3 linked regions of the Daphnia pulex genome follow. Each later gene encodes a partner of the first gene's protein in a complex. Links are inferred from orthologs where the notes say so. Each region holds a gene or a part of one and is shown on either strand. Other genes may lie near its edges.

What was found.
Region 2: E3 SUMO-protein ligase RanBP2-like (region 1) and nuclear pore complex protein Nup54-like share a complex: the UniProt entries of both Drosophila melanogaster proteins name them as parts of the nuclear pore complex. The link is inferred for Daphnia pulex from reciprocal best matches to the Drosophila melanogaster genes Nup358 and Nup54.
Region 3: E3 SUMO-protein ligase RanBP2-like (region 1) and nuclear pore complex protein Nup160-like share a complex: the UniProt entries of both Drosophila melanogaster proteins name them as parts of the nuclear pore complex. The link is inferred for Daphnia pulex from reciprocal best matches to the Drosophila melanogaster genes Nup358 and Nup160.

What each region holds. Positions count from the first base shown.
Region 1 is NC_060024.1:12,890,387-12,894,018, forward strand, and holds part of E3 SUMO-protein ligase RanBP2-like, read left to right. Parts: coding exon 1-69; intron 70-132; coding exon 133-1,329; intron 1,330-1,394; coding exon 1,395-2,747; intron 2,748-2,819; coding exon 2,820-3,632. UniProt on the Drosophila melanogaster protein: E3 SUMO-protein ligase. Component of the nuclear pore complex (NPC), a complex required for trafficking across the nuclear envelope.
Region 2 is NC_060022.1:6,652,528-6,656,784, reverse strand, and holds the start of nuclear pore complex protein Nup54-like, read left to right. Parts: upstream 1-1,345; 5' UTR 1,346-1,516; coding exon 1,517-1,574; intron 1,575-1,882; coding exon 1,883-2,314; intron 2,315-2,372; coding exon 2,373-2,645; intron 2,646-2,723; coding exon 2,724-2,874; intron 2,875-2,934; coding exon 2,935-3,367; intron 3,368-3,437; coding exon 3,438-3,701; intron 3,702-3,768; coding exon 3,769-3,885; intron 3,886-3,958; coding exon 3,959-4,057; 3' UTR 4,058-4,257. UniProt on the Drosophila melanogaster protein: Component of the nuclear pore complex (NPC), a complex required for the trafficking across the nuclear envelope. Essential for the nuclear import of nuclear localization signal (NLS)-containing proteins in an importin alpha/importin beta-dependent manner.
Region 3 is NC_060017.1:6,359,997-6,364,290, reverse strand, and holds the start of nuclear pore complex protein Nup160-like, read left to right. Parts: upstream 1-1,458; 5' UTR 1,459-1,581; coding exon 1,582-1,693; intron 1,694-1,798; coding exon 1,799-1,910; intron 1,911-1,982; coding exon 1,983-3,492; intron 3,493-3,550; coding exon 3,551-3,897; intron 3,898-3,956; coding exon 3,957-4,210; intron 4,211-4,279; coding exon 4,280-4,294. Other genes in the region: glycogen debranching enzyme-like, read left to right, coding at 1-438, 509-931, 1,004-1,063. UniProt on the Drosophila melanogaster protein: Functions as a component of the nuclear pore complex (NPC). Involved in poly(A)+ RNA transport. Required for nuclear import of Mad. May play a role in double strand break DNA repair. Essential for nephrocyte development.

The sequences.
Region 1 (3,632 bases):
ACACGAGCTGAAGCGAGACCTAGCCCCGAACGTTTGGACGCTCAACTTAGACAAATGGTGCAGCGACAGGTAAGTTTGACATAACAGTTGTCCCTTCAATTCATTTATGTAATGTATCAATTGAATATTTAGGAGGAATTTAACCAAGCAATTTCAACTGAATTAAAACAAATTCGGGCCGAAGTCGTGGACATCAAAACTTTGATACAAAAATTGGAGTCACATCTTGAGATGCAAGCAAAACATGAAGTGAAAGAGAGTCGGAAAAAGTCGTCTGAAAAGGCATCTGAGACCTATGATGATAGATGCTACGAAGATGGCGACGTGGAAGATTGGGAAGAACAAGAAGACGAGGAGGAAGAAACCGACCTCGATAATTTAGTGAAATTGAAAGGAAAATTGAAGAGCTCTGGTCCCTCTGCCCCCCAGATCAATATGCCGTTGTATGCTCCTCCATTTGCTCCTGCAACGAGACCGGCATACGGATATCCACCGACCTATGGAGCTCCATTCCACCCTTCTGCATACCAGCAATATCCAGGCTTTCCGTACGTAGGAGTTCCAGGTGCACCAGGTCCTTTCCCCGTTACGCCAACTTATTCGTATCCACCGGGAATACCCCATTGGGGAATGGACCAAGTTACAACTCCGTCACCAGGATCGACTTATTTGCCCCCTGGGATGGTTGCTCCACCTATTCAACAGCAGATTGCTGCCCAACCCCCAGCTCCGTCTGTTTTTTCCCGAATTGGAACAAAAGATACATCACTGCTTGCAGCAACTTTACAGCAACCTACCGTAATCAGCACTGCACCAACACCCATAAACGACGTGGAATCGGCTTCTGAGGCCCTCCGCAGAGCGGCAGCTGGTTATTCAGCATCTTCCACTGCCCCTGCTCCTCACGCATATCAGATTAATGTTCCCACACAGGCTACACCGGAGAAAATAGTTGATAATACTTTATCTCCAGCCATCCAGCTTTCTACTCGAAGCCTGCTTGCCAATATCCCAGAGCCAGAGTTTTCATCTGTTACCACTCCGGATAAATCTAAATCAGCCCGTGATCGCAAAGCATCCACTTGTTCTGATGGAAGCTACGCTCCAGAAGAGGAGGTTGACAACTACCCAGATTTCAAACCTATTATTCCTTTACCGGAAGAAGTGGAAGTAAAGACTGGAGAAGAAGGTGAAGACGTACTTTTCGATCAAAGGGCCAAACTTTTCCGTTTTGCCGAGAACCAATGGAAAGAGCGTGGTGTTGGCCAACTAAAACTTCTTCAAGACCCGACTACGAAGAAAGTTCGATTGCTGATGCGCCGTGATCAAGTAGGATGGGTTGTTTCTATTTCTATGATCGCAGGATTAATTATTTGTTGTTCTCTGTTATCTAGGTCTTCAAGATTTGTGCCAATCACACAATTACGGCGGACATCAAATTATCCGAAATGAATAATTCAGCCAATTCGTGGATCTGGGCCGCCATGGATTTTGCAGATGGCGAAGCAAAACTGGAAAAATTTGCTGCCAAATTCAAAACTCAAGAAATATCCACTGAATTCAAAGAAGCCTTTGAAAAGGCCAAAACAGCCGATGTTGTTAAACCTAAGCCTGATACTGCAACTACAACAGACAAAAAGGCTAGCGAAGCACCAGTTAAAGGATTTGGGGACAAATTTGCTCCCAAAAGTGGATCATGGGCTTGCAGAATGTGCTATGTCAACAATTCGGCAGAAGCTACCAAATGTGTATCCTGCGAAACACTCAAACCAGGGACAGAAGCTCAAGCACCAGCCCCAACTCCTTTCTCTCAAATGAAATTTGGAATGCCTTCTGTAGCATCTGTTGCTTCGACAACACCTACGGCGTTCAAAACTACCACGGTAACGACTACCCCTGCTAGCACGGGATTTACATTCTCATCAACACCTTCAACTGGAGCTCCCGCGTTTAGTGGCATGAAGTTTGGAGTTCCAGCTGCCGCAACAACACCAGCCTCGACAGCGCCTTCTTTTAGTTTTTCAACTCCAACTCCCGTTACTACATCAGCTCCTGCTACAATTAGGTTTGGTGTGGCTGCCGCAACACCGACTTCAACAACTACACCTGTTTTTGGAGTAACGACGACGCCCAGCTCGGCTGCGGTAACATCAAGCTCTGCAGCGTTTTCGTTTGGAGGAAGCAAACCTGCTTTTTCATTCGCTCTGCCGTCTTCCTCAACGGAAACCGTGGTATCGAAAGCTCCATTTTCATTTTCACCTCCCAAATTGGCTACGGCCGTAGTCACGGCTCAAACTAATGGTCAAACCGACGTCACCACCAAAGTGACACCGTCAACCACAACTGGAGTAACACCGACGTCTTCCGTGCTACCTGGCTCAATTTTTGGGACTCCCAAATCAGCAGTTGAAACTAAACCAATTTTTGGAAGTTTTTCCTTTTCCACGCCGGTTCCTGCTGCTGTAACACCAGAAAAACCATTGGAGGAAAAGAAACAAGAAGTCAAGCCTAGTCCTTTCGCCGGCTTTTCTTTTAATAGCAATCCGACTCCTGCTTTAGCACCAAAGGCGCCTTCAGATGAGAAAAAATCCGAAGACAAGCCTAGCCCATTTGCTGGTTTCTCCTTTGGGGGGTTCGGAGGCGTTGCAAATAAAGACGCTGGAGAAAAGAAGGCTGAACCTGGTATGCTGTTTTCTCTGTTAGCCCAACAGCAGTCTTCGACCGGTTTTACCATTGCTCCAAACAAAGTATGTTTCTACATTTTCAATTGTAATTTTGTGCAATTTCATATAACAGACTTGTCATGTTTTAAATTCTAGGAGTTCCCTGGAACCGGAACACCACTTTTCGGATCAACTACTCCGAGCGATAAGACGAAAGATACGAGCAAGGAGGAGGATGGAGAGGAAAATGAAGGAGAACATTATGAACCCAATGTTGTCTTTGAGCCAGTAATCCCATTACCTGCCTTAATTGAAGTATCGACTGGCGAAGAAGAAGAAAAGTTGTTATTTATCGATCGAGCCATCCTCTATCGCTACGTTACTGAAACCAAAGAGTGGAAGGAAAAGGGAAGAGGTGAAATGAAGATTTTGGAACATAAAATCACTGGCCGAGCTCGTTTGTTGATGAGAAGAGATCAGGTTCTCAAAATCTGTTGCAACCATTACATTACTCCTCAGCTGTCACCGAAGCCTTTGCAGACATCAGACCGTACATGGACATGGTCTGCACAAGATTTTTCTGAGGGTGAACTAGTTCAGGAAACCTTTGCACTGAGGTTCAAAACCATGGATCAGGCCCAGAAGTTCAAGGGCGTTTTCGATGAAGCCCAGAAGAAATCTGCTGACATCAGTATTGAAAAAGTCGAAGCAGCGAAAGAAATGAAAGGCCAAGAACCTCAAACGTTCGGTGAGAAGTTTAAACCCAAAGAAGGATCCTGGGAATGCCAGGGCTGCCTCTTGCGCAACGACCCTAGTGTGATGAAGTGTCCATCTTGTGAGACTAGCAAACCTGGAGAGCCTAACAAAACCGAACAGCCTGCCACCAAACCTCAACAACCTGTAACTGCATCCTTCGCTGGATTGTTTAAGCCCAAAGAAGGATCTTGGGAATGCAAGGGCTGTTTTTCA
Region 2 (4,257 bases), on another chromosome or scaffold:
TATGACCGTAATGGAATATTCCTTGGAACATCATGTGAAGCTGGACTACTATATCGGAAACGAATGGACTGGTGGAGTCGAATGGTTGATTATCGACCAGATCGACATTTTGACTGAACTCCTTCCAACACTGAATGAACAAGAACTTCACCGATTCAAGCGGACTCTCTACAATTTCATTGGAGACGACTACAGATTTAAAATAGTCGAAAAGGGCAATCTCCTCCATCTTGCCTGCTGCTCCTACACAATTATAACGAAACTCTTTCCCCTAAACGTCATGAAATTGTTACTGGAACTCGGAGTCGACCCAAGTGCCACCTCGTCCAACGGAATGACGGCCCTTCACGTGCTGGCCAGTATTGAATGGGAGCGCTGGTCGATCAACACCATAGACGCCATCCAGTTACAGTTGTTGGACTCGGATGCTCATATCGACCAGCCCGATGATGTGGGCATAACACCTTTGGACCTCTTTAAACTAAAGGAAAAAGAACTGGCTGAAAACGGGATCTCAAATGTTTACCTTGGGGCCGTTCACATATGACGTCACGGACTTTTTGACGATTTTACACCCCCCCCCCTCCCCCCTTTGTCACAATTCATCACAGTAGGTATACCCCCCCTCTAATATGACGTCACAAAGTCAGATACCCCCCTCCCTTTTTAAAAATTGTTTGAGCCCCTAAAAATTCTTTATTTTCTGTATTTTCTGTAGTTTTTAATACAGAACACAATGTTGTTCATTATTTTCTTAATTGGTCAAGCAAACGAGGTGCTTTGCTCTAACGATCCAAAAAACTAAAAGAAATTTAGGAAGTTGCCAACATATCCCACTTGGTGGCGCTTGTGTAGTGCCTTGTGACGTCCCACTGTGAATACCCCCCCTACCCCCCCTCGTCACAATTCGTCATACAAGGTGCACCCCCCTCCCCCCCCTCGGCCCGTGACGTCATATGTGAACGGCCCCCTTCAAAGACTGATTCATAAAGTGCGGCCCCTCACATGTTTAGCTGCCCAAGTCGTGAGCCGTCATGGAATCCCATTCGACGACCTGCCGTCCAGTTTAATTTCGTTTGTCAACCGTCACTCATTCTTAAATTGGAATAATTGATTGGAATGTAATGCAAATTGTCTTGGTTAAATCATCATTAATAAACTTGTTTTCTGATCAATTTCTTGTGTTAATTTTTTGCGTGTAAAAGGGGAGAGAATGGACGACCTTCGGGAATGACGAGGTTGATTTAAATTTCTTCGGTTGAACGGAATAGAAATATTTGCGGTGGACTTTCGCTTTTCTGTCTTCCGCCAAAGTTAAAGGATTGGTTCTTCATCGTTAACCGCTAGATGGCATATACCTCCTTTCTTCTCGCTACTTCCACAGAAAAAATGTAGTTTCAAGTTTTGAACGTGAACGCTAACGATATCATTGAAAATCGGCTTGTCGACTTTTTTACCAATTAGACAGATACCAAATAAGATTTATACAAGAAAGTAAGGATAACTTATTCTTGAAATGGCATTTTCTAGTGGAAGTCTTTTCCAACCAGCCCAGTCTACTACATCCAACACAGGTAATACACACAAACTAGTGTCAACTCCAGCATTACTATATATTTGAATGATAATTATCTAAGTGAAATCATTTTGCCTTCGTTGTTGAACATGCTACAATGCATGGCTTTTTCATTTATTTTCTGTTTATTAGTTTTTCTTGAGATTACATTTTCTAGTCCAACCAAATGCTGCAATCATTTTTGTTCAAGCACAACACTGATTGAGAATTGTTCATTATTTTATCATAGAAATAGGAGATAACAAATAAAATTTTATAGAATTAAACTTATGTGTTGCAATGCATTTGACTCATTTTCACTTCTAGGAGGGCTGTTTGGAGGTACTGGTCAGACTGGTACTACTCCATTTGGAGGCTTTGGTGTGCAGCAAGTTAGCACAGCAAATCAGTCCTTTTCATTTGGAACTCCTCAAAATTCTGCTTCAACATCAGGATTTGGCTCTCAACAAACTAACACCACTGCAACAGTACCTTCTTTTGGTTTTGGCAGTACCCAACCTACTTCAGGTGCTCCAGCGTTTGGATTTGGTACCACCCAAACTAGCACAGCTGCTCCATCGTTTGGATTTGGTGCAACACAAACAAATACCACTACACCTGCTTTCGGATTCGGTGGAACTAATACTGGTGGAGCTCCATCATTCAGCTTTGGGCAGCCACAGACAAGCAACGCTGGATTCGGTTTTGGCACTGGAGCCCCTGCTGTCTCATCGTCGTCCGGACTTTTTTCTGGAACAGGTAATATTTTTTTATGGAATGACTTGGAACGAATTATTTGACTACTTTTCTGTATTAGGATTTGGATCTTTTGGAACATCTCTGGGAGGAACCGGGATAACAACACCAGCTTCTAGTAGCTTTTCTTTGGGAACTACATTTGGAAGTACAGCCCCAACAACAGGCCTGTTTGGTCAACAACAACAACAAACGTTTGCTCCTGCTCAGCAAGCCGGTACTGTTGTCGAATCTGTTCTCTCATCCGTACTTTACTGTAACATTTACGGTGATGAGCGCGATGCAATCTTGGCTCGTTGGAATCTCCTTCAAGCAGCTTGGGGAACCGGAAAAGGTTTGACTCCACCTTAATTGCGGTTCAATTTAAATATTAGAATGTCTTCATTTTACTCACATTGTTATTGGTGTCTAGGATTTTACTCTGGCACGGCTAGTGCTATCCAATATACTGCAGAGAATTCATTGTGTCGCTTTAAAGCCATTGGCTACAGCAAACTACCACAAGGAAAGAATGAAGATGGAATAATTGTTTTGCTGTTTAACAAACCCGAAACAGATATTCGGTAGATAAAATTATAAAAACCGTAATTGCATATAGATTTATTTATGGATTCAATTTGCAGGCGAGACCAAGCTCAGTTAGTCAGTGTGATAACTACGGCGCTGGGCAATAAACCCAATCTGAATGTGTCCGTCGAGGGCGTGTCTGGCCTAGACACAAATAAGACAGAGGTTTTGATTTGTGTTCAAGAACGCTCAGCAACTGGCGCAATTCATAAAGTGCCTGCCATTGAATTGTCTAACTTCCTTTGGAATCAACAACCATCTGGGATGATGCAGTCGGCTCGTGGTCAGCTCAGCGCACTTGGAGTCGTTTCGTGTGTTCCTAGAGTCCGACCATCACCCGAACAATTGCGCGAATATCTAGCATCGCCTCCAGCTGGGATTGACGCTCGCATTTGGAAACAAGCTCAATCAGAAAATCCTGATCACGATAACTTCATACCCATACCACTGATCGGATTTGGTGACCTTGTTCGTCATTTACACCTACAGGTTCGCATTTCTATATTTAACTTATTCACACTACGCAAATAGTTGAGTTGAAAAAAATAAATCATTGCAGGAGAAAGAGACTCGACGACACCAAGGAACCCTGGACAAGTTAGCTGAGGAATTAGCAAGCCTGCAATCTCGTGCATCAGAAACATCGGTTGCGCTAAGTGAACAGCGACGACGATACATCGACTTGCAACATCGAATCCTCAAAGTTCTTATAAAGCAAGAATGTTCTCGGAAAGAAGGTTTTGCTCTACAGCCAGAAGAGGAACGTTTGCGGGTGCAGCTAGAGTCTGTGCACAATGAACTAAGCATCCCTACGCAATTTCGAGTAACATATATATTTTTCTAATTAAATGTTAAGTTTATAGAATAATGTTTTACACTGTCAACATCAGGGTCGCTTAAACGAATTGCTTTCGCAAATAAGAATGCGCCAATCTGCCTTTACGCCAGCGGAACGAATGACTGAGAGGTACAACATTGAACCAAATGTTTTGGATGATCTGAAACAAGTAAGGAAGTTGTCACAATTTTTAAAGTTAATTTGTTAGCTTTGTCTCATTTTGAATGATCTCGTTCCTATAGGTCCTTAAGTCACAGCAAGAAGGAATGGCTCAGTTAATGAATGTATTGAAAGAAGATTTTAATGATTTGCTTGTTTTAGATAATGCTTTGAAACACTAAAATAGCGACCGAAAATATTCTTCATCAACTAAGTACGAATTTTACTGTTTTCAAGGGTCTAATACACGGAAAAAAAATTTCATTAAAAAAAAATCTTTAGATTCATATCATAATTGAAAATTAGTAGATCGTATTTGATTTTTTACTTTCGTAAGAATATTAGCCAATTTCTCGTACTCGTACTCGTTTATTAGATAATA
Region 3 (4,294 bases), on another chromosome or scaffold:
GTCGAAACTGGATTTGTTTTCGGTGGCAACGCCCATAATTGCGGAACTTGGATGGACAAGATGGGATCAAGCGCTAAGGCCGGTAACAAGGGAGAACCAGCAACTCCTCGTGACGGTTCTGCTGTTGAGATCGTTGGCCTTTCTCGCTCCGTCGTTGGATATTTGTGGGAATTGTTTACAGCTGGAACTTATCCGTACGCCGGCGTCGAGCGGGTTAACGAAGACGGAACTAAGACTCGCTGGACTTACGACGAATGGGCTCGTCAAATTGATCGCAACTTTGAGCGACATTTCTGGATTAATGTCGATCCAGAACCAACGGCCGAACCCCATCCTGAGCTTATCAATCGTCGAGGCATCTACAAAGATTCTTATATGGCATCCAAACCCTGGGCTGATTATCAATTGAGACCTAACTTTGTGGTCGCCATGGCTGTGGTAAGAATAACGGATTTCTATCATTTTTATCTTTCTCACATTAACTGTTTCATTACGTTTACGTTTAAAGGCTCCGACCATGTTTACACCATCGAGAGCATGGCAAGCATTACAAATGGCTCTTCAGCACTTGTTAGGACCATTGGGCATGGCAACTTTGGACAATTCTGATTGGTCCTACCGACCAGATTATTGCAATTCGGACGAAGGAGATGATCCCAGCACGGCTCACGGTTTCAACTACCACCAAGGACCCGAGTGGCTCTGGCCAGTTGGTTTCCTACTCCAAGCCATGCTTTATTTCGCTCCATTGGTCGGCGGAGTCTCCGAACTCAGAAAAACCATCCGCAAAGTCAAGTCTATTTTATCGCGCCACTTTGTCGAAATTCAACAATCGCCCTGGCGCTCACTTCCCGAGCTTACCAATAAAAATGGCAAAGTCTGTAATGATTCGAGTCCAGCTCAAGCCTGGTCTATGGCCACCATTCTCGAGGTGATGAAAAAAAAATAAATATTACAATTTTTGAATTTAATGTACTAACTTGGTCATTTTGTCACTTTTCAGGTTTTGCATGAACTGGACAATATCGAACATAAACAGAAACTAAGCATCACCGCATTGTGAACTTAGAATTGTGATTGAATTCTTTTGTTGCCCCGGGGTCCTTAGTTGCTTTTCAGAATTCGAAATATACGCAGTTCTATTACTAGGGAAAAAGAAGAAGAGAGTAGTTTAAACTTATGTTTCCCACCTTCAGCCGCACCCGTACATTATATTATTAGCGTTTTCCCACTTCAGCGCATGTGTTGTTCTTCCACAATTTTAAAAACATTTTTTGTCGATTTAATTATGTTTGTTATTCACTTGGTGGAGAATTCTATTATGCCGCTTTCCAAAAGCAGTGTTGTAATTTGTAGCAATACACGGCGTCATGCCTGCTAGTGAATATACTCGTTCTTTTTGCCTCAACTCAAATTTTGTCATAAAATTAGTGTACCAACGAGTTTGGTTTTCAATCGCTAGGTGGCGCTGAACGGTAAATGTAGTTCTGCCGTTTGCCGGTTTGGAAATTTAGATTCGTCTGAAACGAATTTGTTTCTCAGCTGCCCGCGCGATTGCAACTGTAGAAACGAGTTAAAAACATGTCTAGTTGTCTTAAAGGAAATCTTTCTGGCTTTTCTCTTCTCGGATTGCGTGAAGTAATTCCAGATCAGACAGGCATAGAACAATGGAAGGAACTATTACTGAATACGGGTAATTCAAGTGAACTTGTTGAGCTACACCGGCTACAGTTCTTTCTTTTTCAACCGAAACGGTGTCGCTTTTCTTAAACACTGACCTGTATTCTGTTTTAACCAGGTGGAACTCATTTGACACTCCAAGATATTAAACTACCTGAAGGTTGCACAGCAGGAGGATACTGTTTCACTGATTCCAATTCAACTGTCACTCGGAACCGTTTCATATGCTGGTACAGCTATCATTTACATAATTTAAATGCTGCTGTAAGTAAGACTCATTCTGTATTATTTGTTTTGAACAGGCAAATTTCCAATGATGTCCTGGAGCTAGTAGAACACAGTTTAGACTTGAACTTACACGGCAACTGTCTTCGAATCAGATTTCAAGGCCTTCCATTATTAGAGGGGACATCCATTCATGAAACAAAAAATAATGTAGTTATTCTCGTCTCCACCATATCTTCAGTTCATCGTTTGGTTCTACCACATCCAAAAAAACACAATGATCCTACAGCATTCAACTCAATGGGGACCAACATTTCTGTACCATCCATCTTTACTGAAGCATCCCTTCCCTGGTTGAGGGAATCATTGAGCCACCAGGTCATCAACAGCACCGCCACCAATTTTTCACTCCCCAGCACTGCTGCATCTTACTTTTCTGGAAAAAGTAAAGAAGCATTGTTTGCTTTGGCAAACACTTCGTCGATTTCTCTCATTCGTATGGGTCAATCTCCTTCGGCAGTTACCACATATAATTTGCAGCCTTCCTCAAATTTATCACGTTTACTTTCTGGTTACCTGCCTACTGTGTTAAGAGGAAGCTCATCACAGGAAAACGAAGATACTACGGCAAGCATTTGTTTATTGCCGACAAATGACGACGTTCTTGTGCTGGCCGTCAGCAAAGGCTTGAAATTGCGAATTTGGTCAGCAGCAACCCAGGAGTGTCGTTTGGAGTTCGATTTGGTTGAATTCTTCGGAGACAAATCAGTCAAGCAGCTTGGCTCTCTTCACAGAATCCGGTGGTGTCCTGACGGCGTCGACTTCAAACTGGTCGTCTTCTCGTCCTTTGGCAAGAATAGATCTTTTCTTCTCATTGATCTACAGACGGGCCCTACACTCAAGCTCAATTTCCAGTCATCCGTTACTGCACAACATAGTCGTTTAATCGACTTCAGCCTGACTTCAAATCACCTTTATGCACTATGGAGCACTTCGCGGGGTGAATATCTGTTGGAATTCGCCGAAACGACCCTGCTAGAGTGGCAACAGGTTGCGTTGGAACCTGGCGTCGATTCGGAAATTGAATACGACGATACCGTCGTTGACCCTAAACAAGCGTACATGCAGGCACTTTTCAAACCGGGCGTATTCTCGATTTCAACCTTGAGTAAGGCTCTGCAAGCTTTTGATCGTTCGGCATCGACAAGTAGGAGGAGACCTGGAGATATAAAAGAAGACATCATTATGGCTATCGAGGTTGAACTGAAAGAGCAGATTTCCGATGCAGATGATGTGACAGAAGAACTTTATCTGCAACTTTCGGCCAAATACTGGGCCCAATTCTACGCCTATGCTGTTCAGTATCATTTGAAGCGGCCAATTCCTGTTGGTTTACTCATTGATGACGAAACTGGCTTCCATGCTCTACTTAAACGAGGAATGGTTTCATTTTTGCGTCCGTTGGATCTGGTTGAGAGTTTGGTTTTGCAACGAGGCCGTCGCTGGGATATGCAGCCATTTTCGAGTGGAATTGCTTCGCTTTTCGGGGGTCAGCAATCAACTTCTGGCCTTACTGCTCTGCTCGAGGTAACATTTCTTTTATTTGTTGTGTACATAGATTTTGACGAATTTTGTTCTTTTACAGATTCTGTTTGTGGTCAGCGATAGTTTGTCAACGGAGCAAATAAAGCGCTTTGATCAATCAATGTTTCAGTTGGAAAGTGCAGATCAAATTGCCAGGGATATTGCTGATGAACTGCTGGAGAACGAATCAATTAATTTGCTCAACGCTGTCCAAATGGCTTTGTCTTCTGTTGACATTTGCCTGGCCTTGTCTGTTCTTCTCCAACAGCTCAGCGTCGGCATGAATGGAGGCGATCCCAAATTTGGCGAAGTTTCCTTCAATAATAAAAGTTCCTTTCGTTTGCTTTTCAATGGAAGTCTTGGATTGGGAGCATTAGCCGAATCATCCCGACAGATGGCTGATTTAAGGTAGTAATTCAGAAAATGTTTCATTACCTTTTTAAATTAAAATGATGTTACTTTCGCAGGTTGGAATTGTGTCGAGATGTACTGATTGTACAGCAGTTGCTTATATTAACACAGAAGAAGCTTCAGCTGCGTCCCGAAGATGCCGAAACCATTCGCTCAGAGTTCCTCCCTCGTAGCGTCCCCCTGGCTCACGCCTACTATGCTTTATCTTGGTTATGCCACTTCCCGGCCCAAACGGTTTCCAATTCCCTCACCGAACAAAATATTCGCACAATGGCTTTGTTGGGATTCAAAAAATCTCAAGAGTCTTACGGTAAGTTTGAAAACATCTAAATTTCCCATTTTTCCAAATTGAAATAATACTGATTAAACAATTCCATAGCGACTTTGCCGTGCA